Rattus norvegicus: one gene and its partners. The protein of the gene in region 1 binds, or shares a complex with, the protein of each later gene. Links are inferred from orthologs where the notes say so. Each region holds a gene or a part of one and is shown in the gene's direction. Other genes may lie near its edges. The genes, in order: Med24, Med7, Med20, Med25, Med4, Med16 and Med31.

Evidence for each region.
Region 2: Med24 (region 1) and Med7 share a complex: the UniProt entries of both Homo sapiens proteins name them as parts of the mediator complex. The link is inferred for Rattus norvegicus from reciprocal best matches to the Homo sapiens genes MED24 and MED7.
Region 3: Med24 (region 1) and Med20 share a complex: the UniProt entries of both Homo sapiens proteins name them as parts of the mediator complex. The link is inferred for Rattus norvegicus from reciprocal best matches to the Homo sapiens genes MED24 and MED20.
Region 4: Med24 (region 1) and Med25 share a complex: the UniProt entries of both Homo sapiens proteins name them as parts of the mediator complex. The link is inferred for Rattus norvegicus from reciprocal best matches to the Homo sapiens genes MED24 and MED25.
Region 5: Med24 (region 1) and Med4 share a complex: the UniProt entries of both Homo sapiens proteins name them as parts of the mediator complex. The link is inferred for Rattus norvegicus from reciprocal best matches to the Homo sapiens genes MED24 and MED4.
Region 6: the proteins of Med24 (region 1) and Med16 are in contact, whole or in part, in a cryo-EM structure (PDB 7EMF), measured with the Homo sapiens proteins. The link is inferred for Rattus norvegicus from reciprocal best matches to the Homo sapiens genes MED24 and MED16. Residues at the interface, in NP_055630.2 of Homo sapiens: Ile539, Leu540, Asn541, His544, Pro545, Glu593, Arg629, Met630, Leu631, Gly632, Leu633, Asp634, Glu635, Asp676, Gln679, Gln680, Thr681, Ala682, Pro702, Pro703, Lys704, Arg705, Pro706, Ile707, Lys708, Glu709, His737, Met738, Gly739, Gly740; in NP_005472.2 of Homo sapiens: His29, Cys30, Pro31, Ser32, Arg52, Asp54, Asp55, Gln56, Glu82, Asp102, Val126, Glu127, Gly128, Asp129, Pro130, Val184, Ser185, Leu187, Thr203, Glu204, Ser205, Cys207, Arg208, Leu209, Arg210, Gly211, Arg212, Asp232, Gly233, Ser234.
Region 7: Med24 (region 1) and Med31 share a complex: the UniProt entries of both Homo sapiens proteins name them as parts of the mediator complex. The link is inferred for Rattus norvegicus from reciprocal best matches to the Homo sapiens genes MED24 and MED31.

The regions. Positions count from the first base shown.
Region 1 is NC_086028.1:84,162,372-84,165,953, reverse strand, and holds part of Med24 (mediator of RNA polymerase II transcription subunit 24), read left to right. Parts: intron 1-1,716; coding exon 1,717-1,981; intron 1,982-2,358; coding exon 2,359-2,540; intron 2,541-2,712; coding exon 2,713-2,803; intron 2,804-3,255; coding exon 3,256-3,355; intron 3,356-3,582. UniProt on the Homo sapiens protein: Component of the Mediator complex, a coactivator involved in the regulated transcription of nearly all RNA polymerase II-dependent genes.
Region 2 is NC_086028.1:31,353,488-31,357,847, forward strand, and holds the start of Med7 (mediator of RNA polymerase II transcription subunit 7), read left to right. Parts: upstream 1-1,549; 5' UTR 1,550-1,595; exon of another isoform or gene 1,596-2,143; intron 2,144-4,193; 5' UTR 4,194-4,360. UniProt on the Homo sapiens protein: Component of the Mediator complex, a coactivator involved in the regulated transcription of nearly all RNA polymerase II-dependent genes.
Region 3 is NC_086027.1:20,867,157-20,870,069, reverse strand, and holds the end of Med20 (mediator of RNA polymerase II transcription subunit 20), read left to right. Parts: intron 1-961; coding exon 962-1,177; 3' UTR 1,178-2,389; downstream 2,390-2,913. UniProt on the Homo sapiens protein: Component of the Mediator complex, a coactivator involved in the regulated transcription of nearly all RNA polymerase II-dependent genes.
Region 4 is NC_086019.1:104,509,181-104,513,557, reverse strand, and holds the start of Med25 (mediator of RNA polymerase II transcription subunit 25), read left to right. Parts: upstream 1-1,548; coding exon 1,549-1,682; exon of another isoform or gene 1,683-1,760; coding exon 1,761-1,806; intron 1,807-1,995; coding exon 1,996-2,120; intron 2,121-2,819; exon of another isoform or gene 2,820-2,948; intron 2,949-4,377. UniProt on the Homo sapiens protein: Component of the Mediator complex, a coactivator involved in the regulated transcription of nearly all RNA polymerase II-dependent genes.
Region 5 is NC_086033.1:55,104,851-55,108,906, forward strand, and holds the start of Med4 (mediator of RNA polymerase II transcription subunit 4), read left to right. Parts: upstream 1-1,228; 5' UTR 1,229-1,240; coding exon 1,241-1,365; intron 1,366-2,375; coding exon 2,376-2,442; intron 2,443-4,056. UniProt on the Homo sapiens protein: Component of the Mediator complex, a coactivator involved in the regulated transcription of nearly all RNA polymerase II-dependent genes.
Region 6 is NC_086025.1:10,447,741-10,452,122, forward strand, and holds the start of Med16 (mediator of RNA polymerase II transcription subunit 16), read left to right. Parts: upstream 1-1,532; 5' UTR 1,533-1,587; coding exon 1,588-1,665; intron 1,666-1,847; exon of another isoform or gene 1,848-1,992; intron 1,993-2,431; exon of another isoform or gene 2,432-2,507; coding exon 2,508-2,673; intron 2,674-3,032; coding exon 3,033-3,140; intron 3,141-3,325; coding exon 3,326-3,495; intron 3,496-4,382. UniProt on the Homo sapiens protein: Component of the Mediator complex, a coactivator involved in the regulated transcription of nearly all RNA polymerase II-dependent genes.
Region 7 is NC_086028.1:57,336,042-57,340,053, reverse strand, and holds the start of Med31 (mediator of RNA polymerase II transcription subunit 31), read left to right. Parts: upstream 1-1,164; 5' UTR 1,165-1,220; coding exon 1,221-1,248; intron 1,249-2,138; coding exon 2,139-2,216; intron 2,217-2,489; coding exon 2,490-2,586; intron 2,587-4,012. Other genes in the region: C10h17orf100 (uncharacterized protein C17orf100 homolog), read right to left, coding at 467-868. UniProt on the Homo sapiens protein: Component of the Mediator complex, a coactivator involved in the regulated transcription of nearly all RNA polymerase II-dependent genes.

The DNA.
Region 1 (3,582 bases):
GGAACAAGCGGCCCTCCCCTTCCCAGGGAGCCGCTCACCCACCACTTCCTCCTCCATCCAGGCTCTGACAGCCCACCTTGCTGTGCTGCCCAGGCCGTGCCCAGTTAGGGTGGCTGGACTCTCCTTTCCCTCTCGGCTTACGGCTTCCCTTCCCTACCACTCCCTCACATTCTTTGTCACACACTCATTCAACTGGCACAGCAGGTAGTTGGTGTCTCTCTGGATCGAGAGGGTTTTAACCCTGCAGTCCATGAGTGGGAAATATGGACCCCAGACAGCTTGGCTTCTGTCCTCAAAGACTCCAAGTTGTAGAGAACCAGCTGAGGCAGAAGAGCAAAGGGATTATATGGCTGTGTCACTGTCGAGGAACTCTGAGGCATCTGCAGTTTTTATAGCTGCCCTCCCCCACCCCCAGCTGTCCTGGTGACCATTTCAAGTACTGGCTCTTGAGGGACTTCCGCCACACGGGCTGGTGGTGTCCGTTCATTCCCCCCAACTGTTAGGTTGTTGGGCTGTTGGTTTTTAAATGTGGCGTGAAGCACATAATAGAAAATTTGCCATTTCAACTGTGTTTGTGTGTCACTCAGGATGTGGGTTGTGACACAGATCTCCAGACATTTTCATCTTGTGTATCCGAGCCTTTTAGCCAATAAGCAACTGTCTACCCCCCCTTCTGGGTTCCCGGCAGCTACCGTGCTGCTGTCTGTCCCTCTGAGCAACTACACTAGATACTTCGTATAACTAGAATTACGTAATACCTGCTTTTTCATGACTGACTGACTTTACTCAGCATAATTTCCTCAAAATTCATTCATACTCTGGCATGTGACAGGATTTCCTTCCTTTTAAGGCTGAGTAACATTGCATATCCGTGCCCCTCAAGGGGACTTGGAGAGAGTTGCTGTGTATGTGGGGCTGGGCTGGCTTGCAGGGCAGCTGCTGAAGATGCTTTCTGAGGGACATATGGAAACAGCCCAAGCAAAGTTTGGGGAGGCTCTGTACACTCTTATCTGCACTCCCCTGCCTGTGGGACATCATCCAAATTAAGTGTGTATAACACACACACACACACACACACACTATAACACACACACACGCATGCACGCACGCACGCGCGCACACACACAAATACACACGTACACACACACACACATTAGCACACGGGCACAGAGGGGCTCTGAAAGTCAAGGTTGCACTCTCTGCACCCTGACATCCCAGCAGTTAGTACTCAGACCCCAGCTGTGTTTGCAGCCCAGATGTTCCCAAGAGGATTCCAGGCCGTGCACATTTTGCCCAGCTGCCCAGGGCCGGGAAGAGTCTCATGGGGCAGCCTAAAGGCCTCTCCTGGAAGTTACAGTTTACTTTGGGAGGGTGCCAGGGCTGGGTCGGACCCCCTCCCCCAAGTGCTCAGCTTAAGTGGAAGTGATTGTGTTTATTTATGACCCTGATTTGGCAGTGCTCAGGCCTGGGGGAGGGGACAAGGGGATGGGGATGTTGAGGGGAGGAGAAACAGAAAATCTGAGTGGATTGATGGAATCTGCAAGAGAAGAAAATCCTGGTCTGTGCCTCTCCTAGGCTTCAGGCCTGGCAAGTGAGCTCCTCGCCAGGAGTGAACTGTATTGTCCTCCCCAGCATACTATGGGTCTAATTCCTCAGCCATGTTTCCGTAACCCAACCCAGGGGTAATGCCTGCATGTACCCTCCCTGCTCCCCTAGGGTGGTGATTATGAACTCAATCTTGGAACACATGTGTGCGGACGTGCTACAGCAGACAGCCACGCAGATCAAGTTTCCATCCACGGGCGTGGACACAATGCCCTACTGGAACCTGCTTCCTCCCAAGCGTCCCATCAAGGAGGTACTGACAGACATCTTTGCCAAGGTACTGGAGAAGGGCTGGGTGGACAGCCGCTCCATTCACATCCTTGACACCCTGCTGCACATGGGTGGCGTCTACTGGTTCTGCAACAACCTGATTAAGGTACTAGGGCTGGGGTACATGTGGACAGCCATATAGATAAGGGCAGTAGACATCATCGGTTGGGATAGACCGGGCTGGGGTGCATGTGGACAGCCAGCTGGACAGGGGGAGGAGATGTCATCAGCTGGGATAGGCTGGGCTGGGGTGTATGTGGACAAGCCAGGTGGACAGGGACAGGAGACATCATTGTCTGGGATAGGCCAGGCTTCTTTGAGAGATTGCTAGAAGCTGGGTGGTCTCCTGGGGAGATAGGGCTTCACCTCAGAGAAGCACCTTGGGAGTTAGGGTTGAATAGCACCTTTGGCTGCTGAGGTGGTTAGAGCATCAGAATCCTAGGGTCCAGGCAGCACCTCAGGAGCCACTCGCCTGCCTCTCAGGAACTGCTGAAGGAGACTCGCAAGGAGCACACGCTAAGGGCAGTTCAACTATTGTACTCCATCTTCTGTCTGGACATGCAACAAGTGACCCTGGTTCTGCTGGGCCACATCCTGCCTGGGCTGCTTACTGACTCCTCCAAGTGGCACAGCCTCATGGACCCTCCTGGCACCGCACTAGCCAAGTAGGATTCTCTCCAGAGCTTTTCTTGAGCCCCAAGCATCTAGCATCCAGATTCAGTCTGGTGTCACCCAGGATCTGGGTGGGAGTGAGGGACAGAAGGGGCTCCTTCACTGTGAACATGTAGCTTCTTCTGGGACCGACTTAACTATGCCTTTTCCTGGAACCTTTGCTAGGCTAGCCGTTTGGTGTGCCCTGAGTTCTTACTCTTCCCACAAGGGACAGGCATCCTCACGCCAGAAGAAGAGGCACAGAGAAGACATAGAGGTAGGCCTGCTGCTGACTTGGTCATGTGTTTATTCAGCAAACATTTTCTTTTTTTCTTTTTTTTTTTCCGGAGCTGGGACTGAACTCAGGGCCTTGCGCTTGCTAGGCAAGCGCTCTACCACTGAGCTAAATCCCCAACCCAGCAAACATTTTCTGATCGCTTAAAGCAGAGGTGCTCTCCCAGCCAGAGGTTGGGGCTAAGGTCATCTGTGTGTGGGCCTGTCTGATTGGTCAGGGTCTAGAGGAGTGGCTTGAGTGGTCCTCTGAGTATCCTTGATGAGGATCCTTTTCTGCTCACTGGGCAGAGATTGGGGTATGGGAAGGGTCACCACTGGTAACGCTGGCCAAGGACTGTAGGAAGCTCACTTCTCCAGTCAGATCTGCCCTCCAGTCCTCTCCAGCTCCTGGAGACTTAGGAAGTCGAGTGTGTGACAGTGACTCCTTGTCCCCAGGATTATATCAGCCTCTTCCCTGTGGAGGACATGCAGCCTTCAAAGCTTATGCGGCTCCTGAGCTCCAATGAGGATGATGCCAGCATCCTGTCAAGTCCTAGTGAGCACTTGGGGATCATGGGCCTGCCCAGGACTCACTCCTCCCTCACGAGCTTCCTCGACTCCCAGCTCATGGCCGTCTGGCAGAGCAGGAGCTTGCACTTCTCTGTCCCTAGTGGGTGCTCTGACCCCACAGGTCCTCCTCCCTTATCACTGGTGGGAGGGTGGCGAGGCATTTAGTGAGTTCACCAGCTTGACACAGCTTGTACCACTGACTCACCCACTCTC
Region 2 (4,360 bases), about 53 Mb from region 1:
TGGCCTTGAGTTTCTGGACTTCGGATCCTTCCGTTTTTACCCCCTATGCGTTATATGTACTATTCTAGGCAAACTTTCCACCAACTGAGTTACATCTGAACCCCTATTCATTTAACTTTGGGTGATGGCTAATCTTTAGAAGCAGAAAGACCGAATGGCATTTTCTTGTAGCTGCCCAGATAAAAGGACAAGAAGAAAGGAAACTGCTCTTTCGTTGCTTGCTCTCATTCTCACTGGCAACTTCATCTGTCCCACTGCTGTGTCATTCCTTTGCCAGTATTAGATCCAAACTTTTTTGGGATTCCAACACAGACTGAAGAGCAGCAGCTCTCTAAAAATCCTCCAGGCCTCCAACGCCAGGTGGGGTCTGCTGAGACATCCAGCCCCTTAGACTGAGCAGCTACGGGATTCTCAGCCTTTCAGGTTGGAGGCAGCCATTGTTGGACTAGTTGAACTGCATCTTGTAAGCCACTCTAATAAGTTATATGACATATATATCCATGTGTGAACACACACTCATTTGATCAGTGTAACAACCCCTGGTACACTTTCAGTAAGATAGTAATGCTATGGGCATGGGAAAAAGCGAAGAGCCCTTACCTTTGAGAGGCTCATACTGGACTAGAGGCGAACTGATGGGGAGCATATAGCTGTGGAAGTTGGTGATGAGTAGACTGTTCTTTCGCTTTTATGCCTGCAATTCTTCACATATTTAAAGGAAGAAACTGGGACATTCTTGTCTCTGAAGCAGAGCTGTTTTAGCAGAACAGTCTTATCTCACTTTTAATTTGCAACAAGCGTTCTTAAGACTCCCATGAGTTAGGACATCTGTTAACAATTCTTTTATATGTGTGGTGGGGGAAGGCCTAAATGGAAAGTTTTCTTGCTGGTCCTGATGGCTCATTTCTGAACCTCTGGCTTTCCTGAGGCTCGGAAGAGACATTTGAAACCATGTGTAGCCTGGGCTACACAGTGAAATTGCCCACTCCTTCTAATTTTAAAAATTACATTAATTTTTTTTTTTACTTGTCGGTTTGTGGAAGAATTGTCATATACATCTTTGAATTCCTAAATGAAAATAAAAGTGAACGGAAGGGGGAAAATGAAGGTGTAGGATGTTAGTCTTAATCATGTTCCCAAATATCCCCATGTATGTATGAATATATCATGGAGTACAACTTGCTTTAAAAAAATTTTTTTTGATGATAAGGTTAGCATTGATATTTTTAAATATTGCTTATCTGTATTTTCTGACTTATATAAGGCAAATATTTAATTTTAAGAGTCTTATATAAAGGGGGTGGGCGGCGAGGAGTCGAATTACTAGAGAGTACTTTCTTTTACTAACAAGAAGTATGAAGAAACACTCTCCTGACCTGACCAAGAAGATAGACAAGAGATCTTTTCCCGGGAGAAGCGGGAGACGCGGGAGTGCGCATGCGCAGTATCTTTAGGGCGGGAGTAGGACCTGCTATAGGACAGGCTTCGTAGCCAATTAAAGGCCCGCGTCAGAGGCTTCTTCCTGAGAAGGCAACCGGAACTTGTGCTTCCGCTGCGCTGAGGAAAAAGTCGCTACGGGAAAAGCTAGAGCTGAGGTGAGCCGGCGCGGCGTTTGGCGACCGCAGCCAGAGTCTGTCTCTCCGCCCCCGCGGTTGCGTCTTTCCCGGCGCCACGCCGAGGTCCGGCGCGGGACAACCTGGGAAGCCCGGGCTCGCCTTCCTCCCACGTCCCTCAGCGGAGCCTCCCCGGGGCCTGAGGCAGGCGGCTGGCCGAAGGTGCGCGGAGTGCGGCTCGCTCCGGGCGTCTCGCGGACCGGACGACGAGCCGGACCGGAGGTTGGGAGGTCCGAGTTCTCGTCCCCACGCCACGGGCTTTTAAAGTGTCGTGGCCTTAGCCTGCCCTGTCGGCATTAGTAAAATGATAGTAGCCACCTGGGAGCGCGGAGGCTGGGGGAGGGGAGGGAGAGCCTCGGGCGGATCTTATCCTGTACCAGACTTTACGAGGGACAGGGACCAAGTGAGCCAAGTGTCTGAGCTTGCGACCACTCCCCCCCCCCGCCCCCCAAGCAAATGCTAGAAACTGAATTTTGTTAGTGTTAGCAAGTGAGGACATCCAGCGGCTCTGAAAAGTTCAGTTTAAACCGGTGAGGGCGGTTTTTGTAAGGTGGCAGGCTCTAAAACGGGATGCTTGAGTTATCGGGGTTTGCACTTCCGCGCAACAAAACGAAACAGCCAAACAAAACAAAACAAAAACGGAGTACAAATTCCCGTTATACATTTTACCCACTTCTGCACATTGGAAACTGGCTTCTTGTTTCTAAAATCAAATTGGGAATAGTTGTGCCGTTAGGAAGATAGAAGTGAGGATGCCGGTCACTTATTAGAAACCTTTGGGAAATGGGAATTTAGTATGGGTGTGGCTAAGGGAAGCGCAGATCTCATCTTCAAAAGCCCTCAGGGGACGAAATTTAGGCTGGGTGTTGACTTGATGTGACTGCAAATAGACACTAGTATCTTAGGTATATATACCCTGAAATAGTTGAGTTGGACGACCTGAAGAATTTGAAGTGACTTCCCTCAGATTTAATGTATTCCAGGTGTACGGAACCTGTATGTTACTTTCCCCTGTTACCTTGAATCTCAGTGTGAAAAAGCGCTCAAGAATCTTCTCATTGTATAATGTACTTAAACTCAAATTGGAAAAGCAGAGGGTATTTTGACCATATATGTTGCAGTGTTGGGACTTAGGTGTTAAATTTATGTAGAAAAGATGTTAAAATGCCAATTGTCAATAAAACTGTACTATAAGATGTTTGTAAGATGAGGCTTCCCTCAGAAACCTTGGAAAATTCTAGAAGTATGAAATTTAACAAGTGATTTTTGTCAAGACGTATAGAGAATCTTAAGTGTTTGGTTTTGGAAATCACTGTACAGTAGAAAGCAAAGTGAGATTGATAGACACCATATGTAGTTTGATTATGGAAAAGAGAAATAAATAAGGCATATGACTTTGTATATAACTGTTCTTTCCCAGAGTAGGTTTCAACGTATGCCTACCAAAAGGAGTCAGGCATGAAAAAGAAGTATATCATATACCATGTATAAGCCCCCCAATACAGACCCTTTTCTCTTAGTTTTCAGAATATATGTTTGTTCTTTGAGAATTTTATACACACACACAAACATGTGTGTTTTGATCATGCTTGCTTCCTCACTCGTCTAATATCTTGCAGACCACTACCATATCTTACTCCCAATTTTATATATTTTTAAAATATTTTCTTGGTTTTTAAAGATGGATCTTTAGCACAGGCTGGCCCATGTAGTTCAAATGGGCCTTGAACTCACAGCTATCATGCTTCTCAATCATTAGGACTCAACAACCATCATGCTTAGGGCAGTTTAAAAAATTGTTTAAAAATAACAGTAAATAAAGTCCTCTGCAAACCCGCAGTGGACTCTGCTGCTTGTTTTCCCACTTTGAATGCTTTATTTACATTTGTCAGGTTATCTACAATGTGTGAGTCCTTAATGCTAACATCATTTTTTAAACAAGCAGAACAGATCTTACTGAACGATCATATGAGTGCTCTTTAACAGGTGAGAAGGGCTCGAAGAGATTAAAAATAATCGTAGGATTTCCAAGTGAGGCTGTTCCGTGTTCTCAGAATTTCCTTCATAGACAAGGTTTGCACACCTCGACTTGGGTGTGTAGTTAGACACTAGACATGTCTCATGGTTCTCACTTCTGTTATCCTCACTGCAGTGAACATGGCGATTCAGCATTTTAAAGCCTGATTCAGTTAAGCAACAACCTGTAGTCTTGGGTGAATAGAGTTAAGAGCCAGGACACAGCAGGCCGTAGGACCAGAGCAGGTATTGTAAAGAAGACATGGTACCTGGGAGTCCGTGACTAAGTATGTGTAAGTGGTGATTCTACAGTAAAAAGGAGCCTGCCATTGTCCACTGTCAGTTGCAGAAATTGTACAATGGGAATTTATACTTGAATGTTGGAACCATAACTCATGCTATCACAAAGTAGACAGAGGGCAGACCTTTTTGGAAGGCCATCTTTGTGTGCAACTTTCTGCACCTTCCCTGCTCTATCCCATTAGTCTAACAAGGGACTAATCAGATCTTCATAAAGCCATAGCTTTGCCTTATTTTTCTCTTCACTTCTTCCTCCTTTGCCAGGATTACCTGTCTCCCTAGGGTGAAATTAGCACACCTGTTGTCTTTGCTGGCCAACAAGTTCTCAATTTTTATACTTCCCATCAGGAAGCTTGAAGATAATATGGTCTGAACCCACAACGAACTTGTACTGAACATTGTACTTGTGTTGATCAGGCTGCTCTGGTCTT
Region 3 (2,913 bases), on another chromosome or scaffold:
TGGGGACCAACACCCTTTCCAGGAAGGGCTGAGGACACAGCTTTCTGAGGGATGTCTGAGGTGGGCTGTCAGTCATACAGTGCCCACCGTGCCCCACCTTAGTATGTTTTACAAGAGGCTTCCAGAGCTGTGGAACAAAACTGTATCTTTCCCTGTGGCATCTGTCCACTTTCATGATGGCCAAGAATGTGTGTATGAGATGCCTTCATCTAGTTTTTTTAGTCAAAAAAAAAAATTGACCATACTTATCGTGGGTGTAGGTGTGCATCTAGAGATTGGAGCAATCAGTTCTCTCTTCCTGCCATGTGGGTCCTGGGGATTGAACTCAGGCTATCGGGCTTGGTGGCAAGCATTTTTACTGGCTGATGGCCTTCAACACTGAACCTAAATATGTAGATGTTGAAAATGACATGGAGAGTATGGAAAGATAGCTTTAGAGTGAAAGTCCATAGCCTACCATGTGTCCAGCATTAACTGCGATTTTAGAAACAATAAAACAATTCTGAAAATGCATGGTTTTGGTAAGCAAGCAGAGCTGAAACACACACATGTGAAGTGAGTCCAGAAAGGCATGTGGCTTAGGGAACCAGGCTGAGTCTTGCTGACTGAAATGGTAACCTGTAAAGCAGTGGACAGACTAAGGAGGAAGGAGTCGGAGGCCGGGAGTGCTGGTACATGCTTACTGTCTCGGCACTTGGGAGACAGAGCCCGAGGACTGCGAGTCTGAAGCCAACTGCAGCTGCACAGTTAGATCCTGTCACAAAGTAACAACCAAACAAGAGAGTCTGGGAAGTGCCCAGGTAGAGAAAAGGAAGGACCCTCGTGTCAAGTTTCTTTTCAGGAGGCTCCCAGGCCAACACTGTCTAATTGTTTCACCAGTGACTGGACGGTTGCAGTTGCAGGAGGGAAGCTAGCTAGCCCATCCTTGTCCTTACCCTTGCTGTCTGTTCTCTTGTCCCAGGTGGAGTATGGCCCTTGTGTGGTAGCTAGTGACTGCTGGAGCCTCCTGCTTGAATTCCTACAGAGTTTTCTAGGTAGCCACACACCAGGGGCGCCCACAGTGTTTGGGAACAGACATGATGCGGTCTACGGGCCAGCAGATACCATGGTACAGTACATGGAGCTCTTCAACAAGGTCCGGAAACAGCAGCAAGTGCCTGTGGCTGGGATCCGCTAGTGACTGGCAGCTGCCGCCTGCTGAGCTGTCACCATGGCACTGTCAAGGACCACGTGCTGGACTTGGGTCCCAGCTGTAGCTTGTGTTCCAGGGCTTTGGACTCCCCTCCTGACCACATCACAGCTGTTCTTTACTTCATGCTTTAACTGGATTTGGCTGGTCCTCAAGAATGGTAATTGTGAAGAATGGAAAGGCTTGGGCCTTTCCTCCTGTAGGCAAAAGGTAGGACAGGGTTGTGCCCACCAGTGCTAGAGCTGTGTGTCCCCAGGTGCTGAGCATTTCGAATAGGCTGTATGCCTGTGCTGCTTTCGCTTGAGGATGTGGCTGGCAGGACGGGATTGTTGGCTGCGAGAGTGTTGCTTTCATTCTTTGGACACTGATGTCTTCCCCTACTGTTTTGAATTATGTGAACCTGCAGGCCAAGTTGCTGTAGCAGAACCAAAAGCAGAGGGCTCTTACTGCACAGCTTATTTTTCGTTAATAGTTCAGAGGCATTCAGTTCCACAGAACAGAATGAACTCCACAGGGTTACCAGGAACTTGGCTTCTTATGTCTTACTGTTCCTTCTATCATACTGTCCCCAGAATGCTTTCCTCACCACAGGATCAAAGCACGCTCAGTATCTCCGTGCCCACAGTCTGCTGAGGAAAGAGATAGGGATGTTTTTCAAAGTTGATTAGATCACTGTGGACACACATTCCTGACACTCAACACTCAGTTTTCTCAGGGGGCTTCCTAGTTTGCCGTCTTGGCTGGCTTGAGCCTTGAACTCACTGACATTGCTCACCTGCCTCACACCTGTTACAGAAACATTTAACACGTAGACAGGCTTGGGAAAGCTGTTCATATACAAAGTGTAGGGTGGCAGTGTTTGTGCAGCAGCTCTGAGGAGGTGGGTCATTCTTGTGTCCTAGCTTTGGTGGGCAGGACAGCTCATCACACCTTCCTGGTTATCCTGTTACTTCCTCTTGCTTTTGTTGTTACTCTTTTATTGTTGCTGTGTAAAAACTGAGGTGTTTTAGATACCACAATAAAATTGACAAACACTACAGTTTCGGCCTTCTGTTCTGTGTTTGGTCTTGTTGCAGGCTGTCTACTTTGTACTTTGTACTGGTCGCTTGAAAACACAGATGTTAAGTGTGGTAAATATGGACTCTCAGTTCCTACATAAGAAGGGATCAGTTTCTAAAAAATAAAGAGAAGCACAAACAATCTTGCATCTTGGTAATTGAAGTTGCCTTGCTTCCATTCCCACATTTTTGATTTTTTTTTTCCCTTTTTTTCAGAGCTGGGGACCGAACCCAGGGCCTTGTGCTTGTTAGGCAAGCGCTCTACCACTGAGCTAAATCCCCAACCCCATTCTTGATTTAAAAAAAAAAAAAGATTTTGTTTTTAATGGCACGCATGGCGGGAATGGGGGGGGGGGGTTTGTTCTTGAGTTTGCAGTACCCTTGGAGGCCAGAAGAGGGCATCAACTCCTCTGGATATGGTGTCTCAGGCAGATTTGGATATTGGGAATGGAATCAGGTCTTCTGCAAGAGCAAAAACATTCTTAACTACTGAGCTGTCTTTTCAGTCCCTTCATTTTTGCTCTTTTCCATTTGAGCTCACAGTTGGCTTTAAACATGAGATGTAGCCTGAAGAATGACCACTTGGGTACTTTGCTTGGTCCTTGTCATGAGTGGAAATGCAGCACTGAAAGAAGCTTGCTAAGCAAAAGACCTAATAATAACGGA
Region 4 (4,377 bases), on another chromosome or scaffold:
AACAAAATTCAACGTGGAAAATTTTAGTTTATGGGTGAGCACTGGGGTTAAAAAAAACTTGTTCATACTGTTAATTCCGGCACTCCAGAGGTAGAGGCCAGCAGATCTCTGAGTTCTGGGAAGCCTCACTAACTAATTTACAGAGCAAGGTCCAAGACAGCCAGGGCTAACACAGAGACAGACTGCCATGGGGCCAGAGGTGGAGGAGACACACCACAAAACAATGTCTGGGGGTTGGGGATTTAGCTCAGTGGTAGAGCACTTGCCTATCAAGCGCAAGGCCCTGGGTTCGGTCCCCAGCTCCGAAAAGAAGAAAAAAACAAAAACAAAAAACAATGTCTGGGACACTGTCTCAGTTGCTCCAGTGCTTGCAGTGCAAGCATTTGGGCTGAGTTCGAATCCCCACCACCTACGTATTTTATAAAGGGCTTGTGTATTATTTTTCCTTTTTTCTTTTCTTTTTCTCTTTCTTTCTTTCTTTCTTTCTTTCTTTCTTTCTTTCTTTCTTTCTTTCTTTCTTTCTTTCTTTCTTTCTTTTTTTTTTTTTGAGACAAGGTTTCTCTGTGCAGCCCTGTCTTCCTGGAACTCTTTCTGTAGATTGGGACTGCAGCTCAGATACACTTGCGTTTGCTGTGGATTGGAATTTAAGGCATGTGCCATCACAGCTTTGTATCTTTCTACATTAGTGAGGTTTGTTTAGTAGAGGTTGTTTAGTAAATTTTTGTCCACACATATGTTATAATATAATTTTCCAGATCCCTTTATATTCATTTTGGCTTATGTCATTAGCTGCAATGCCGAGACTCAGTTTCCTCACATTCCTATTACACTGTTTTTATATATTAGTATTATTATTTTGTTATTATTATTGTTTTCTTTCTTGCTTTCTTTCTTGTTTTGTAAAGAATGTATTTTCTTTCAGTCGGTTTCTGGCTTCTTTCCCAGAAAACAGAGATTAGGTGTTGCCTAGCAACCTTGATTTAAATTGAAATTCCCTTCTTTCCCAGCGAAAACAACTGTCTTGCTTCCAAGTCCTGGGCAACTTTACACTGTTGCCTAGCAACGTCGTTTCCGATGATGTGATTGGACTACTCTCTCCCATCGGTTCCTGGTCAGAAAGAACAGAATTTATTAACTTAATCTCTGTGTCAGACCTCTATGGCAGGGCACGCGTTGCCTAGCAACCGGGTTCCCGAACTCCCTTTAGCCCGGAGTCGGAAACAAGATTTCGACTCCAAGATGGTGGCCGGATGTGCTGTTTTTCGTTTTATTTCGTGCTTGATGTTGTGCACAAAAGTTTGTTCGACTTCAAGAGGCCCTTAAAAGGGCTCGTTGTGCCCATTCTGAGAGTTTCATGCTGTTGGTATGCGCCAAGGTAGAGATAAAACCACCACTCCCAAGATGCCCCGCACAAACATGGCCGTATCAGCATCAGCAGAAGTTGCCAGACGTCCGGCGGGAGTGCGCGCACCGCGCAAGCGCACTTCTGTTCGTCCCGGGACGGCGACGGCCTCTGCGGCGCTGGCGGCGGCGGCGGCGGCGCGGGGCATGGTCCCCGGATCCGAAGGCCCGGCCCGGGCCGGGGGCCTGGTCGCTGATGTGGTGTTTGTGATCGAGGGGACGGCAAACCTGGGGCCGTACTTCGAGGGACTCCGCAAGCACTACCTGCTGCCCGCCATAGAGTGAGTGAGACCCTACATCGCCTCCCGCTGCCCTAACCTAAGGCTTGTGCCGACGCTGCCTTTCCTCCGTCTTCGCAGGTACTTCAACGGAGGACCACCCGCAGAGACGGACTTTGGGGGAGACGTGAGTGTGCGGCCGAATCATGGGGAGGAAGCTGGTAGACCCCTATGTCTGAGGGAGCAAAGATGGGGTCCTTAGTCTTGGGTTTGAAGAAAGAGAGACTCAGTTTATTTCTAAAATGATCTGAAGTTGGGAGGCCCTGTTCCTTGCCAAAGATCTTCGTTTTAAAGTTCTTTTGTCCTGTCTTCGCAGTATGGCGGAACCCAGTACAGCCTTGTGGTGTTCAACACAGTAGACTGCGCTCCAGAGTCCTATGTACAATGCCATGCTCCTACCAGCAGTGCCTATGAGTTTGTCACCTGGCTCGATGGCATCAAGTGAGCTTTGACTTCATTTGGGGCAGGATGGGGACCCTAAGAAAGACTGTGGGCATGGTGACTTGTGATTGAATAGTGCCTGGAGTTCAGTGTGGGTCCCCACAGTCTGTACCTGAGTATGCCATACCGTCAGCTTGCTCTTCTTCTCTGTCTACTCCAGAGGAGTCTGCAGGATGGATCTGGGCCTTGAGAGTACCTTATGTGAGTTGGGTCATAGTTTACAGTGTAGCTGAGGCTAACCTTGAGTTCCTGACCCAACTGCCTCTACTTTCTGGTTGCTGGGCTTACAGACTCGTGCCACCATAGCCAGCTTATGGAATCAGGCAACCTGCAGTAGCCACGGCTTCTTCTCAGACATATTTCCTAGGTCCCAGGGTCCTTTGTGCTGCCCATTCCTTCTGAAAAGGAAACCTGTAGCACTTGTATTTGTTTTTTGTGCTCTTGGATGTCTGTTACTGTATAACCGGTTCTCCCCCATGCTGCCTTGGTTTAAGGATTTCAAACTGAACATTTGCACCATCTGTAGGTCAGGAACTCAGGAAGATAAGTGGGGTCATGTGTGTTTGGTCTGGTCTCACAGGGCTGTGGTCATCCACTCCCTGGCATGCCTGAAAGAACCACGGTCAACTGCTTGCTCTGTGGCTGGGGACAGAGCCTTCGTTCTTGCTGGCTGTTTGCCATCATGCCCTCGAACATGGCAGATTAACACCCAGACTGGCAGCTGCCTCTGCTCAGAGTGAATGTGAACCCAGAGGGCAAAGAGGAAACTACCAGGTTTTTTGATGACCAAGTCATACCTCATCACTTTTGTCACAACTTGTTTGATAGGTGAGTCTGCCCTGTTCCAGACAAGAATGGGTGACCAGTGGGTTCCCTGGGGACAGACCACCAGAGCCTTGTAGGGTGCTGGTGCTTGGCACATAGTGAGCAGTGTGTGAGTGCCTGCTTGTACTGCTCGCCCTGTCCCTGTTCTTGGTTTGCAAATGAGTAACCTATAGAGTGGTGGGTGCTGGAAGGCTCACTGATGCTAATCTTCCCAGGTGGGTTCCACAGTCTGGTTGTGGTCAAGGTTCATTTAGTGGTGCTGATCTGTTCCTGCTGGTTCTTCCTGCTTGGTTGAAGCAGGCGTGTGTGTGTGTGTGTGTGTGTGACAGACAGAGGCAGAGAGACTTGGTAAGAGGCATGGGAAGCTGGCCTGTGTACTGCCCCCGGAAGTTGTTGGGATTAGAATTAATATAAAGCAAAGCTTCCTGTTCTTGATATTGTTGACACTTTGCACTCAAGTTTTTAAAACAGGTTTTGTTTTGTTTTTTTAATTTAATGTGTATGGGGTTTTGCTTATATGCCTGTGTGTGCAACACTTGTGCCTGGTGCCCTTTGAGACCAAAGAGGCCATAAGATCTTCTGGAACTGGAGTTAAACAGTGTACTCCAACCTGGATCCTCTGAAGAGCCGCCAGTGCTCTGAACGTTTCTATGCCCCCAGTCCAGTTTAAAAACCTCACAGCATCTTGTCAGGTTTTCCGGGCTAGCCACACAGTTCTTTCCATCCTTCTGCCTCAACCTCATCAGTGCTAGGTTTTCTTGTCTGAGCTGCTACACCTAGCTTAGATTATATAAATCTTTTATTTTTTTTAAAGGATTTTTATTTTAATGTGCATTGATTTTTTTTTTTGTCTTACGATTTTTTTTAAACTTTCTATTGAAAGAAGTGACTTTCTATTGGTGAGAAGTGACTTTCATACCATGTACCCCAATCCTACTCAACTTTCTATCTCTTCATATCCACCCTTGACACTTACAAACCTCCTTTCCAAAATAAAAAAACAGTGTCTTTTTTTTTTTTTTTTTTTTTTTGGTTCTTTTTTTTCGGAGCTGGGGACCGAACCCAGGGCCTTGAGCTTCCTAGGCAAGCGCTCTACCACTGAGCTAAATCCCCAACCCCTGTGTCTTTTTTTTTTTAAGATTTATTTTATTTATTATATATGAGTACACTGTAACTGTTTTCAGACACACCAGAAGAAAGCATCAGATCTCATTACAGATGGTTGTGAGCCACCATGTGGTTGCTGGGATTTGAACTCAGGACCTCTGGAAGAGCAATCAGTGCTCTTAACCATGGAGCCATCTCCATCCCAAAATCAGTGTCTTGATGTTTTTGTCCACATACATGTCTGTGCAAGGGCACCAGACGCTGGAACTGGAGTTAGAGATAGTTCTGAGCTGCCAGCTGCCCTGGAAGAGCAGCCAGGGCTCTT
Region 5 (4,056 bases), on another chromosome or scaffold:
CAGGACTAAGGATGAGTTCTAACAACCAAGAAGGTAACCCAGTAAGTGCCCATCAGATAGGGGGTATGGTGAGCACATAAGGAGAGAAGTCAGACTTCGAGGGAGGGTGTTGGCACCTATTCCAGTGTGGATGGACCATGATGGCATTCACTAAATGAATGAGCGTGGTGTACTGACTCAGCATTTGGGAGGTTGTGATGAGAAGGTGAGATCCTTTTTAGTTTGGGATTAGCTTACACAACAAGATTCTGTCTGAAAGGAAGAAAGGAGAACAAAGCCAAATTCCCAAAAACCAAAAACAAACCAAGAAACCCCAAATTAGAACAGCCTATGTGACTCCACTCATACAAAATGAGTAGAATAGTAAGATAGAAACAGAAAGTACAGTGTGGTTTCCAGGGATGGGAAGTCGCTCTTTCATGAGTATACAGTTTACATTTTAGTAGATGAAGAGGTTTGGGATGTTTTTTAACTGCAATTTGTTTTGTTTTGAGACAGGGTTTCTCTGTGTAGCCCTGGCTGCCCTGGAACTCACTCTGTGACCAGGCTGGCCTCTATCTCAGGAGATCTGCCAGCTTCTGCCTCCTGGAGTGTGGGATTAAAGGCATGTGTCACAACTGCCTTGCTTAACAGAAATTTAATGCCAGTGAATCCTTTGCACACAATGGTTAAGATACCAAATTTTAGTAACCAGGCACAGCGGTACACCCCTTTAATCCCAGCACTCAAGAGGCAGGAAGATCTCTGAGTTCGAAGCCAGCATGGTCTATAGGGCAAGAATATGTACTTTGCTACCAAAAAAGGAGTAGGGAGGGAAGAAAGGATTTTACCTCCTGCCCCAAATTTACTACAACCTCATGAGAGACCAAACTTGATGGCTGGGATATTATTATTGGAATACAGACAAACTAGAAGTTAATAAGTATGCAATTCCCCCAGTTTCTTAAAAATTCTTTTGTTAGAAACCTTCCATTGATGCTGAGGAAACAGAAGACCCAGGAGACTGGGAACTGTATCTCTCATTCTGGGTCCAGTTGGAGGTATCAGATTGGAACCCGCCACAAGGCCTCCTTTGCCCTGTAGATGGCGCTAGAACTGTAGTGCACCTCCAGGACGATAGGCGGCGCTCTAGCGGGACCACTCCGTCCCGACCTCTATTACTCTTCCTTCCGTCTACCGGTCCCGCCCCTCCTGCGGCTAGCTCGCACTGCGCATGCGACGGCTGGTGGGCAGTGGGACGATGGCGGCTTCTTCAAGTGGTGAGAAGGAAAAGGAGCGGATGGGAGGCGTTTCAGGAATGACAGGCCTTGGCAGTACGCGAGAGCGGCTTCTGTCTGCGCTGGAAGATCTGGAGGTCTTGTCGAGGTAACCGCGGCCTGGGAGCCTGCTCCGGCCGGCTCGGCTGTGGGTTCTGACTGGGTAGGCGGGCTGGGGAGTCTCCGGCCAACGTGATGGACGTGGGGTCAACTGCCTTCCGGGGCTTTGGGCGGCATTTCCCCTATCAAGGGGATATTTCAGTCACAATGACCTGGGACCCCAAGACAGTCAAAACTTTGTAGTTGCCGGTAAGAGGACCAGATCCGAGCCCCCTCATTCATGGACACTGAACAGACATTTAAAGCACGCTCCCTCCCGGATACAAAGTGTTGGGATACTGTAGTCAAGAGGAGACTAGATGCCAACACGAAGGAGCCCAGGGCAACGAGGGAGACGAATGTTTAAAACTGCTGTGGGCCAGGTTTATAAGGGTTGAGCAGTAGCCTTCTGCAGTCCACGGATGGGATTTCTATTCTGGTGGCAGCAGGGCAAGCTTCCCTAAGAAATGGGCTGCATGTAAAATCATCAGGCTTGGTAAGCGTCTGGTAGGTAGTCCAGCATCTGAAAAAGCCTGAAAATGTCATGCAGGACAAGGCGGGGTGACTGGTGTGTGGCCGAGATAGATTAAATTGGATGTCATACTCCACTTTGTCCTGATTGTCTCAAGTCTATCAGTTAGAGCCTTATCAAGGGAAGGCAGCCCTGGCAATCTGTACCGTCTTACAGGAAGACATAATTTACACAATTGGCAGCTCTATTGGCCTGCAGACCCACAGTCCAGTCAGGAGACTGCCACTTAATCACAACTGAGTCTTTGGTGATCGTGTGCAGTAGCCGGTGACTGCTGAAGTGTTTACAGTCACTCTGAGTGTCCAGCATGTTGAGAGGACCATGAACCCAACAATCAATTGGGGCAGGGAGCAATTAAACAGTTTCTTTTGTATTTACTTTAACAAATTGTTAGTGCGCTATGAAAAGGTTTCACTAGATAGCCCAGGCTGCCCAGAGTCCTCCCAAATACCGAGTTCACCTTACCCTGATAGTTGTTTTTCCTGTAGGGAACTTATAGAAATGCTTGCAATTTCAAGAAATCAGAAGCTGTTACAGCTGGAAGAGGAAAATCAGGTAAATGGTTGTATTATTAATTATTATTATTACTATTATTATATTAAAATTATTTATGTTGGGCAGTGGTGGTCCACACTTTTAATCCTAGCACTGCGTGGGAAGAGGCAGGCAGATCTCTGACTTCGTGGCCAGTTTGGTCTACAGAGGGAGTTCTAGAATAGCAAGCTCAGATAAACCCTATCTCAAAAAAAAAAAAAAAAAAAGATAACTTAATGTTTGAAAGTTTATGTTTATTTTGTGTGAATCTTTAAATTGATACTTTTTTAAAAAGCATTACTTTATTTTATTTTTGGATTTTTTTCTGAGAGTGCCTCTCTGCCTGCTCTGCAGACCAGACTTGTCTCAAACTCATGGCCATTGGCCTGCTTCTGCACCCCCAACCCGCACCCCTCCCCCGCACCCCCTCGATTGCTGGGATTAAAGGCCCGTGTCACTGTGCAGGGCACATTGGTACTTTTCTTTATGGCACTTCCGTAACACTGTGCCTAAGAAGCTCCTAGCCATACATTGTGGCCCACACCTTAAGTCCCAGCACTGAAGTGTCCCAGGTAGGCAAATCTCTGTGACTTGAGGTTCTTCATGGTTTAGATACGACTTTATTCCTTGACTTTTGAGTTAACCAATAAAACCTTATGAAATAGAGACATACAGTATGCTGGAAGGAAGTTGTTAGTACAAACCCTGTATGTTGCTGCTTCATCCCAGTGAAACTTGAAGTGAGTGGAAGTCAATGGATATCACTCTTAGAAGCTATCTATACTGTTCATTCATTCTAATTTTCTCCAGTAGATAGATGCATTTTATTTTCTTTTTCTGATTCAGAAACCTCTTTTTCCTTTCTCTCCCTATCCTTTGCTTTTGAGTGTGTGAGTGTGTGTGTGGCAGGGGTAGTTTTCAAGACAAGGCTTCTCTGTGTATGTAGCCTTAGCTATCCTGAAACTTACTTTGGTCACCACAGGGTCATAAGAGTGTGTGAGCTGGCCCTGCCCCTTGGTGGCTGCAGCACTTGGGAGAGTGGGCCCTGTACACAGTAGTGCTGTACCGGGTCGAGGGGACATGGGTGAGCCAGCCCTGAGCTGGCCCTGCCACGTGTTCTGGGTGTGGGGTGTCGTCGTCATCACCCCGCGGCCCCCCCCCCCCCCCCCACTTATCACCTACAGTAATTGAGAGAGCAGGCCTGCCCCTTGCTGGCTGGAGCACTTGGGAGAGTGGGCCCTGCCACTTGTTTGTTCTGAGATGGTGTGGGTGCAGGGGTGATCCCCTCTTTATATCCTGCCCCCCCACCTCTGCACCACCATCTGTGGTAGTCCAGAGTCGGCCCCAAGGGCATGAATACAGGAGACCTAGCCTTGCCCACTCACTAGCTGTAGACTCGGGAGAGTGGGCCTGCACCACCGGGGCTGGTGGAAGGTATGAGTAAGCCAGCCCTGAGGCTGTGAGAGCAGGAGAGCTGGCCTGGCTCCTGCCTCTGGTGGCACTGGGTGGCCTAGCTGGAGCGTGCTGGAGAGCTCCCCGATGGTGCAGACGCAGCAGAGCTGCAGGCTGACAGCTGCCACCCAGGCCCACACCCAGCGCTCTGAGTCGTTCCTCCCCAAATCTATATCATCTGCA
Region 6 (4,382 bases), on another chromosome or scaffold:
GTGTGTGTGTGTGTGTGTGTGTTTGCGCGCGCGCGCGTGTGTGTGTGTGTGTTTGCGCGTGTGTGTGAGAGTGCGTGCGAGCACATGTATGCACGCCATGTGCCCGTGAACCTGGACAAGCTTCGTCCCAAGGGCTCATTTTATGCTTTCTTTTTTGGTGACGTGTGTATTATGTCCCCAGCTCCCTGCCTGCCTTTCAGACGGTCCCCTCTCCTCCTCCTCCCTTACACCAGGGGTCCAGGACTTCCAGCCAGAAGCCTCTGACCTTGTGTACCCTGTCCCCCTCCTCTGTCCCCTCTGCTGCCTGGCGTAGCTGTGGTCACGCAGAGTCCTCCCTTCCCCTTCCGTGTGACTCTTTGTGCTTGGGGAAAGGGACACTTTTAATAAAGCCTTGGTGCTCGGGCCTGCTGTGTGCTTATTTTTGGGGTTGGTGGGGTGGGAGAGATGAGACTAGGTCACTGAGGCTGGAGATCTGGACGTGGAGGAACCTCAAGTCTTGATGCGTTAGTTCATTTTACAACATGTAAAATGCATAAAGATGGGTGCCAGGCTGGGGTTTGGTGGGGAAAGCATTGGCTACCATGCTCAAAGCCCTGGTCCCATCTCCAATACCACATAAACCGTTACATGTGACCAATGGGTCAAGTGAGTTTCAGGCCAGCCTGGGCCATATGGGACAGACAAGTCTGATGTTGGACACCTTCAATCCCAGCACTCAGGAGCCAGAGGCTGATGGATATCTGAGTGCAAGGTCTACATAGCCAGGGCCACACAGTGACCCTGCCTCATACAAACAAAAGCCACTTGAGGGCCAACAAAATGGCTAAGCGGGTTAAGGTGCTTGCTGGCAAGTTCAGCAATCTGAGGAAGGAAAGAACTAATTCCGGGTCCTTTGACCTGCACTGTGGCAGGCATGTCACCCCCACCCCCCACCCCCACCCCCACCCCCACCCCCACCCCCACCCCCACCCCCACCCCCACCCCCACCCCCACCCCCAACGGTGTAAGTAAGTCCATGGCCAGGTGATGCACTTCTGACACCCCAGCAGGTAGAAGCTGTTACAGGAGAACCTCATCAGTGGGAGGCCAACCTGAGCTACAATGAGCCCTTCTGTCGAGAAACAAAATGGGAAAAACGTGTGCGGGCCTTCGTAGGACGTTATGCTGTATGCCAGTTATGCTGTATGCCAGTTCCTCTGAGAGGGCAAAATATGGAACGCTTCACGAATTTGCGTGTCATCCTTGCGCAGGGGCCATGCTAATCTTCTCTGTATCGTTCCAATTTTAGTATATGTGCTGCCGAAGCGAGCACGAACTACGGGCTTACCCAAGACATATTTATAGGCTCAAAATTGAGCTACTTCGCACTTAGGGTGAGTTTTCTCTGAAGGAATAGTATTTGTCCTGCTTATATAGTTAAGCCTTTCTATAAGATCTAGCCAATCATTCGAAAGAACAGATTATTTGTCTTTTATCGCACGTGTAGCCTCAATAATTACTAGGAAATTATTATATGCAAATTAACCGGGGCAGGGGCGTAGTCCGGTTCCCAGAAGTCTGTTCGAGGGGGCCGGCGCGGGCCGAGAAATGGCGGCGCCGGATCCCGGGCGTTGGGGCGAGTGTGGACCGCGGCCGCCCGGTCGGCTGGGCGCCCGGGGCGGACAGGTCAGTGCGGAGTGCGGGGTATGGGACTCCTGGCTGGTGCATTTCTGGCTTGGCCCGCGAGCGGAAGGCCGAGGGGCGGGGCCTGCGGGGTCAGAGGGCGGGCCTGGGAACAAAGCTTGCTGGGTAGAGGCCGGTGAGGGGGAGATGTGATTAGGTTCCCCGCTTAAGGTGAAGCCTGAGGCAACTAGGCTGGGGAGGGGGCGTGGTCCGAGGGGCTGAGACTCCCTGGGAGGGGCGTGGCCTGAGGTTCCGAAGTTGAGCGAAGGGGCGGAGCCTGAAGCAATAAGTCTGATAGAGAAGGCGGTGGGCTAAGGAGCGGAGCCTAAGGTGGGTCGGGGTTAGGGACTGAAGATCTGAGACTGATGCAGAGGGGTTGGTGACCTGATAGTCACAAACTGAAGAGAAGCGGGGGATGAATAAAGTTAGTAGTTTTGTTTGGAAGCAGAGCCTAGTGTGATTAGATAGTGTGGGTGGAGCTTAACGAGCTTGGGCGGGACGCGGTGAAGCACGTGTGTTAAGCCTCAGGTGGGCCTTGGATGTTAACTTATTGCGAGTGGGACTAATGGGCTGGGACGCGGCCTGAGCTACTAGGTTCCGGGGCAAGTCTCTGGAGTGTAGACTGAGGCCCAGACTGAAGTGGTAGGAGTGGGCCTGGTTGTGTGTGTGAGGGTGCTTAGCACTTGTAGGCTGAGCTCACAGCGATCTGGGTGGGTGATAGGTGGCCTAGGGAGGGGTGACCTCAGGTGGGGCATCATGGAATTTCTAGCAGGGCTCGAGCTGGAGAACATTCTAGACCCACTTTAGCCGGGAGCTGCTATAGAGCATGCCTCCCTTCTCCCCAGGAGCCAGGGACGGTGCTGGGTGCGGTGGGTATGATGGACCTAGCCTATGTGTGCGAATGGGAGAAGTGGGCCAAGAGCACGTACTGCCCGTCGCTGCCCCTGGCCTGCGCCTGGTCCTGCAGGAACCTCATTGCCTTCACCACAGACCTACGCAATGATGACCAGGGTAAGTGCTAGTTCTGTTTCCCTGACTGGGACCTGGGGATTGAGACCAAGTGGGTGGGCTGTGATTTCCTCATACAATGGGTCCCGATTTGGTAGGTTCATGGTGGCAGAGCCAGGCTCTCCATTGCCAGCTACAGGGTTTAGAGAGGCCTGGGAAAGCAAGGTGGGAGAAGAGACATCCACACTTTGGTCACCATCCTCCAAATCTAGTGATAGTGCCTCTGGAGAGACACTGGCTGCACTGGATACCCTGTGTAGGGATTAGCAGCATGGGGGAGGGGTGTTATAGGAGAGGGGCAATGGGGGTGGGAATCATGGGCACTGTGGACCACACTGACCTCAGTGTTCTCTTTCCTGCAGACCTCACACACATGATTCATATCCTTGACACAGAACATCCCTGGGAAGTGCACTCTGTCAGCTCTGGCCACAGTGAGGCCATCACCTGCCTGGAATGGGACCAGTCAGGTGAGGCCATGAGGTTTGCTCTCAATCCAAAGCCCAGGACAGCATATGCCACCTTCCTCAGTCATCAGTCCTAAGTCTGGAGCCTGGGGACAGCCACTGCCCACTGGGAGTCCAGAGTGGGGAGGGGACACCGAGCAGTTTACCTGCCCATCAGAAGGGCTCCTGACACAGCTCTTTCATCACAGGGTCCCGGCTCCTGTCTGCCGATGCTGACGGGCAGATCAAATGTTGGAGCATGGCTGACCACCTGGCCAACAGCTGGGAGAGCTCCGTGGGCAGCCAGGTGGAAGGGGACCCCATCGTGGCTCTGTCCTGGCTGCATAACGGGGTGAAACTGGCACTGCACGTAGAGAAGGTGAGTGTACCACTGGGGGACCAAGGGGTACATGGAACGGAACCAGGGGCTGGCATGTGCTGTGAGTACCTGTGGGTTACTGCTGTCCCCGAGAGCCTCTAACCCTGAGCCTCCCTTTCAGCTATGGCCCCTGGACAGGGAGTCTGTTTAACAGATGTCTGCGTCTGCAGTGCTGTCTTACAAACATCCTCAGACCCCAGAATCCTCCTGTCTGTCTATATTCTGGAGTTCAGCCACTTAGGAGCGGGGACAGAGTTGGACTCTAAGTCCTTTTCCCTTAGTAAGGGAGGGGAAGTGGCAGCCTGTGGGTCAGGAAGCACAACCAAAATTCAGTTCCATGATTGCTACAGGTTTTTGGAGCCTAACGGCTTTCACATTGCCTCTCATCCCCAATTCTAGTACTTAGGAGGCAGACAGCTCTCTCTGAGCTCAAGACCAGCCTGGTCTACATATCCAGGTCCAGGGCAGCCAGGGCTACACAGTGATACTTGTTCTCCAAATTTAATGTAAGGGCTAGAGAGGTAGGTGGCTCAGTGGTAGGAGTACCAGCTGCTCCTGCAGAGGACCTGGGTACATTCCCAGCCCCTCCATGGCGACTCACAGCCATCTGTAACTCCAGCTCCAAGGGACTCCGTGGGCATAAGCTCTTTGCAACCTAGTCCTCTAGCCCAGCAGAGGCAGCGGAAGAGAAAAGCTGTTAGGCTATGGGGGAAGTGGACCTGATGAGCAGTAGCTCTTTGAGGGTGAGCTAGCAGTGGTTCAGTCCCGCAGCAAACACCAAATAGGACTTAGCAGGCAGACACCAGGCACGAACCAGCAGCTGTAGTTCAATCCTGAAGAAAAACACCAGGAACCTCAGGAGCAGTTCTTGGCTGACTTTCTCTCAG
Region 7 (4,012 bases), about 27 Mb from region 1:
AAAACTTATTATGAAATATAAATATTATTAAAGGGTAATTAACAATTTGTGAAAGATGATGCCTTGCTCTGTAGGTTTCAAGCAGGTATATGATCAGGCCAGTAGTCAAGAAACATGACAAATCTGGCCCCTCTTCGCAGATTTCAAGTCGTCAACACATTCTAGAGGGACCTAAGACTATAAAACTTACCTGGTGTAGAGACTCAAAGAATCTCTTTGTCCATCGTCTGGGTTTACACAGTACTACAAATCGGAAACCTTTCTGTGCTGGCTTCAGGTTAATAGTACGCTGGGTCAACAGCAGGATGGACTAAGGTGCTGCAATGTCAATACATGTTAACAGTGCCCAGAAACCACAGCCTGCTTCTTACACTGTTTTATGGGCTGTTTCCATGAAACCAAAGATACTTGGCTCTCCTGGAAGCTGGCTGGCAATTCCTCAGTCCTGGCTAAGGACCATGGCACTTCATCGAGTCATTCTGGCACTCTGCCGAGTGGCTTGCTTGTCTCGCCTGGCTGGGCTCTCTACGCGGTGCACAGTAGTCTCCACCCGCAGGGATGACGACGCCCTGACGTGGCGGGAGGACGTTTCCATGCACTGCGAGGAGGTTTCCACGTGCTGGGAGGACACCTCGAGGAATTGAGGGAGTCGCTTCGCGGAGGGGGTGAGGGAGGGTCCCTCTCGGTGGCGCTGGGAGGTCTCCACTTGCCGGGAAGACGTTAGAACCTGCCGGGAGGACGTCTCCACGCGGTGGGATGACGTTTCCTCGCGGTGGGACGACGTCTCCATGCGGACAGTCGATGTCTCCTTGTGGCGGGTGCTTTCCACTCGCGGGACGGAGGACTTGCTCCTAAGGGGCGAGGCCATCCTGCCCGTACACTTTGGTCAGGAGGAACAAAGAAGCCCAAGGATCATGCTCTGCGTCACGCCACCCGGGGGAAGGTGACGTCAGAGAGGTGTATTACATCAGAGTAGGCAGCAGGACTCAGACCTGAAATCAGAGAAGCCCTCCGGCACGCCCCGCTCGATATCTGCGCGCGCAGTCGGCCCGGTCCGCACAGATGGGCGGGGCCACTCTTCCCCAAAGTGAAGTTGTCCCCGCCCTCGTGTCCCACTCTGCCCCGCGACCGGAAGTAGGACCCGTGACTTCCGGATTCTCCTTCACCAATCCGGGCTGCGGTTGGGTCGGGTTGGTAGTGTTTGCGCCTTTCTGCTTGCTATGGCCGCGGCCGTCGCTATGGAGACAGGTGCGTTGTGTTTTGCACGGGAATGGTCCTTCGCCCCAAAATCCTCTCCCGTTTCCCTTCCCCTGCGCCGTCTTCCGGGCTCAACTCCTCATCCTTAGAGTTGGGACCGGCGGAGGAGAAGGCGGTGTTGCCCCCCAGAATATGGCCTGTAGGACCAACTTTGCTCCTGTGTTGCTCTAACCCCTACTCCAACCCTGACTCGCGGGGCGGGCCGGGGCGCATAGAAAGGACTGAGACCTTCCACTGTCTGCTCTTTGGAACTTCTCCAAACTTGCCTGAAATGTCGGTAACCTGTGTATTCTAATGCATATCACCGTCTTCTCTCCATTGTTTAATCATTCCTGCTTCGTTTTTGTGTAGCACTTTGTTTTTGCTTAACGTAATTAGTTGTGGTTATAACAACATAGGGAACCGTACAGCTATTGCAGACTATCCGATAATCTCCGCTCACGTCCTTCCACAGTGGCGTACAGGTTCTACATATTTTTTCCTCAACGAACTTTAAAGGATTTTTTTATTACTATTTTTGTTTTGGAAACAGGGCTCACTAAGTAGTGAATTAAACTAAATTTCTAAGGAAGTTTCTTCCACACTTTGATATTTGAGTTCATTCATGAGTGTGCATGTGTGTGTGTGTTTATGGGGGTGAGCGGCGGTGCATGCCAAGGTTAGAGGACAACTTGCAGAAATCGGTTGTCTTCCTACAACCCTGTAGGTTCCAGGAATCGAACTCAGGTCATCAGACTTTGCAGCAAGCACCTTTACTTGCTGAGCTGTTTGACCTGCGTTTTATTTTTGTTTCTACAAATCAATGTTTGTATTGTGACTTTTATTTTGGGTGATCGTTCCTTCCTTCTTTCTCTTTTTTTTTTTACTGTCTTTTCTCCTAGATGATGCTGGAAATCGACTTCGGTTTCAGTTGGAGTTGGAATTTGTGCAATGTTTAGCCAACCCAAATTACCTTAATTGTAAGTTAAGTACATCATTAACTTAAGTAGCTCACTAGATCTTAATGGTTTCTGAGAAGAGATGCAATTTGTAATAGTATTTATTTACTTCGATGTGTTTGGGGTTTTACTTGTGCTGGTCTGTAAGTATCAACTGAGCAAACAAGGGCTTGTGTTTTTTAATCCCTTGTGTTTTGTCGGTAGGGATGTTAAGAAGAGCTACTTTACTTAAGAGATTACAGATCAGCAGCCCAGCAGTGGTTGACATACAGAGTGTTTCTTTGTGTCTTTCAGTTCTCGCCCAAAGAGGTTACTTCAAAGACAAAGCTTTTGTTAATTATCTTAAGTACTTGCTTTACTGGAAAGAACCAGAATATGCCAAATATCTAAAGTAAGTTTAATTTTTAAAATCCCAAAGCTGTGTGTACTTTATTATAAATACTAAGTGCTATTATTTAGCAGTTTTCTCGGTGTCAGAATGGAAAACAGCATTTGGGATCTTTCTGCTTTTAGTTGATGTAAGACGCTGTTATCTCTAACTTGGGTTGATTATGACAGGAATTTCATTTATTTCTGCTACCATTCTTACCTCACTCCCTTCAAACAAAACCAAAGAACTGTCTACGTGGGAGCCAGCTTACTCTCTTGGCAGTGTAAGTCAGAGCATACTGTTCGTGCAGGCTAAGATCCAGTGAACTGTTGTAGACTACAGTTCTAATGTAATTTGGTCGTGTCTAACCATGTCACTTAGCACTGCCCCTGTCTTTCTGGGGTTTTGAGGCCTAACAACCCATAACCTGTGACGGTAGGAAGAACTGTTTCCTGAGAGTCTTAGAGGTCCTGCCTTTCTTTGTGGTGTCCTTTGTTTCAATCACTGTGCGTATTAACTCACTGTAAAAGAACAGACACAACAATATCACATCAAACTCTGCTTTGACTTAAAAAGAGAAAAGAAAGCCAAGCTGGCTTTAATCCCAACATTTGGGAGGCAGAGGCGGGCGCATGTGTGAGTTCAAGGCCAGAGCTGCTTCCAGGACAGCCACTCTACCCAGGTAAACCCTGTCTAGACACTGCCCCAAAGGAGGGGACAACAACAAAAACCCCAGAAGTAGCTTGGTGTCCCTTTAATCCCAGCTCTCAAGAGGCAGAGTCAGGCAGATCTCCGTGAATTTGAGGCCAGCCTGATTATGTTGCAAGCTTCAGGCCATTCAGGGCCACACAGAGAGACCCTATTTTAAAAATTAGAGGAAAACATTTCAAACCTTTTTTTTTTTTTTAATCGTAGTCATTTTTCTGACTTGATTCCTGGGCTGCCTGTAGATTTGCTCTTCATGATGCAATTCTAGATTCCTCTAGGAATCCAAATGATAGGCTTGAAATTACTATTAGAAAAGTATGGGGTTGGGGATTTAGCTCAGTGGTAGAGCGCTTGCCTAGGAAGCACAAGGCCCTGGGTTCAGTCCCCAGCTCCGAGAAAAAAAAAAAAAAGAAAAAAAAAAAAAGAAAGAAAAGTATAACATGTTACATGTTAGCAAACTTTTAGCCACCTTCAAGCTCAGTCTCTCCAGCCCAGCTGTTGAAAGATGATTGTCTCCGCTCTGTTGGAGGCTCCCTATGATCATAGGTCCCTCTACTATTAGAGGCAGCTTACTCCATTGATAGCCAGAGGTAAGGGAGCTCTTCTTATATACTCTGATCAAATACACCTCCTTGTAGCTCTAAGCCGTTTGTAGGCTTGTTCCTTATTCTGTTCATCTGTGTCCTCTTGGAGGTAACAGCTATAGATGTTTAAATTCGAGAGAAGTTGTGAAATAACT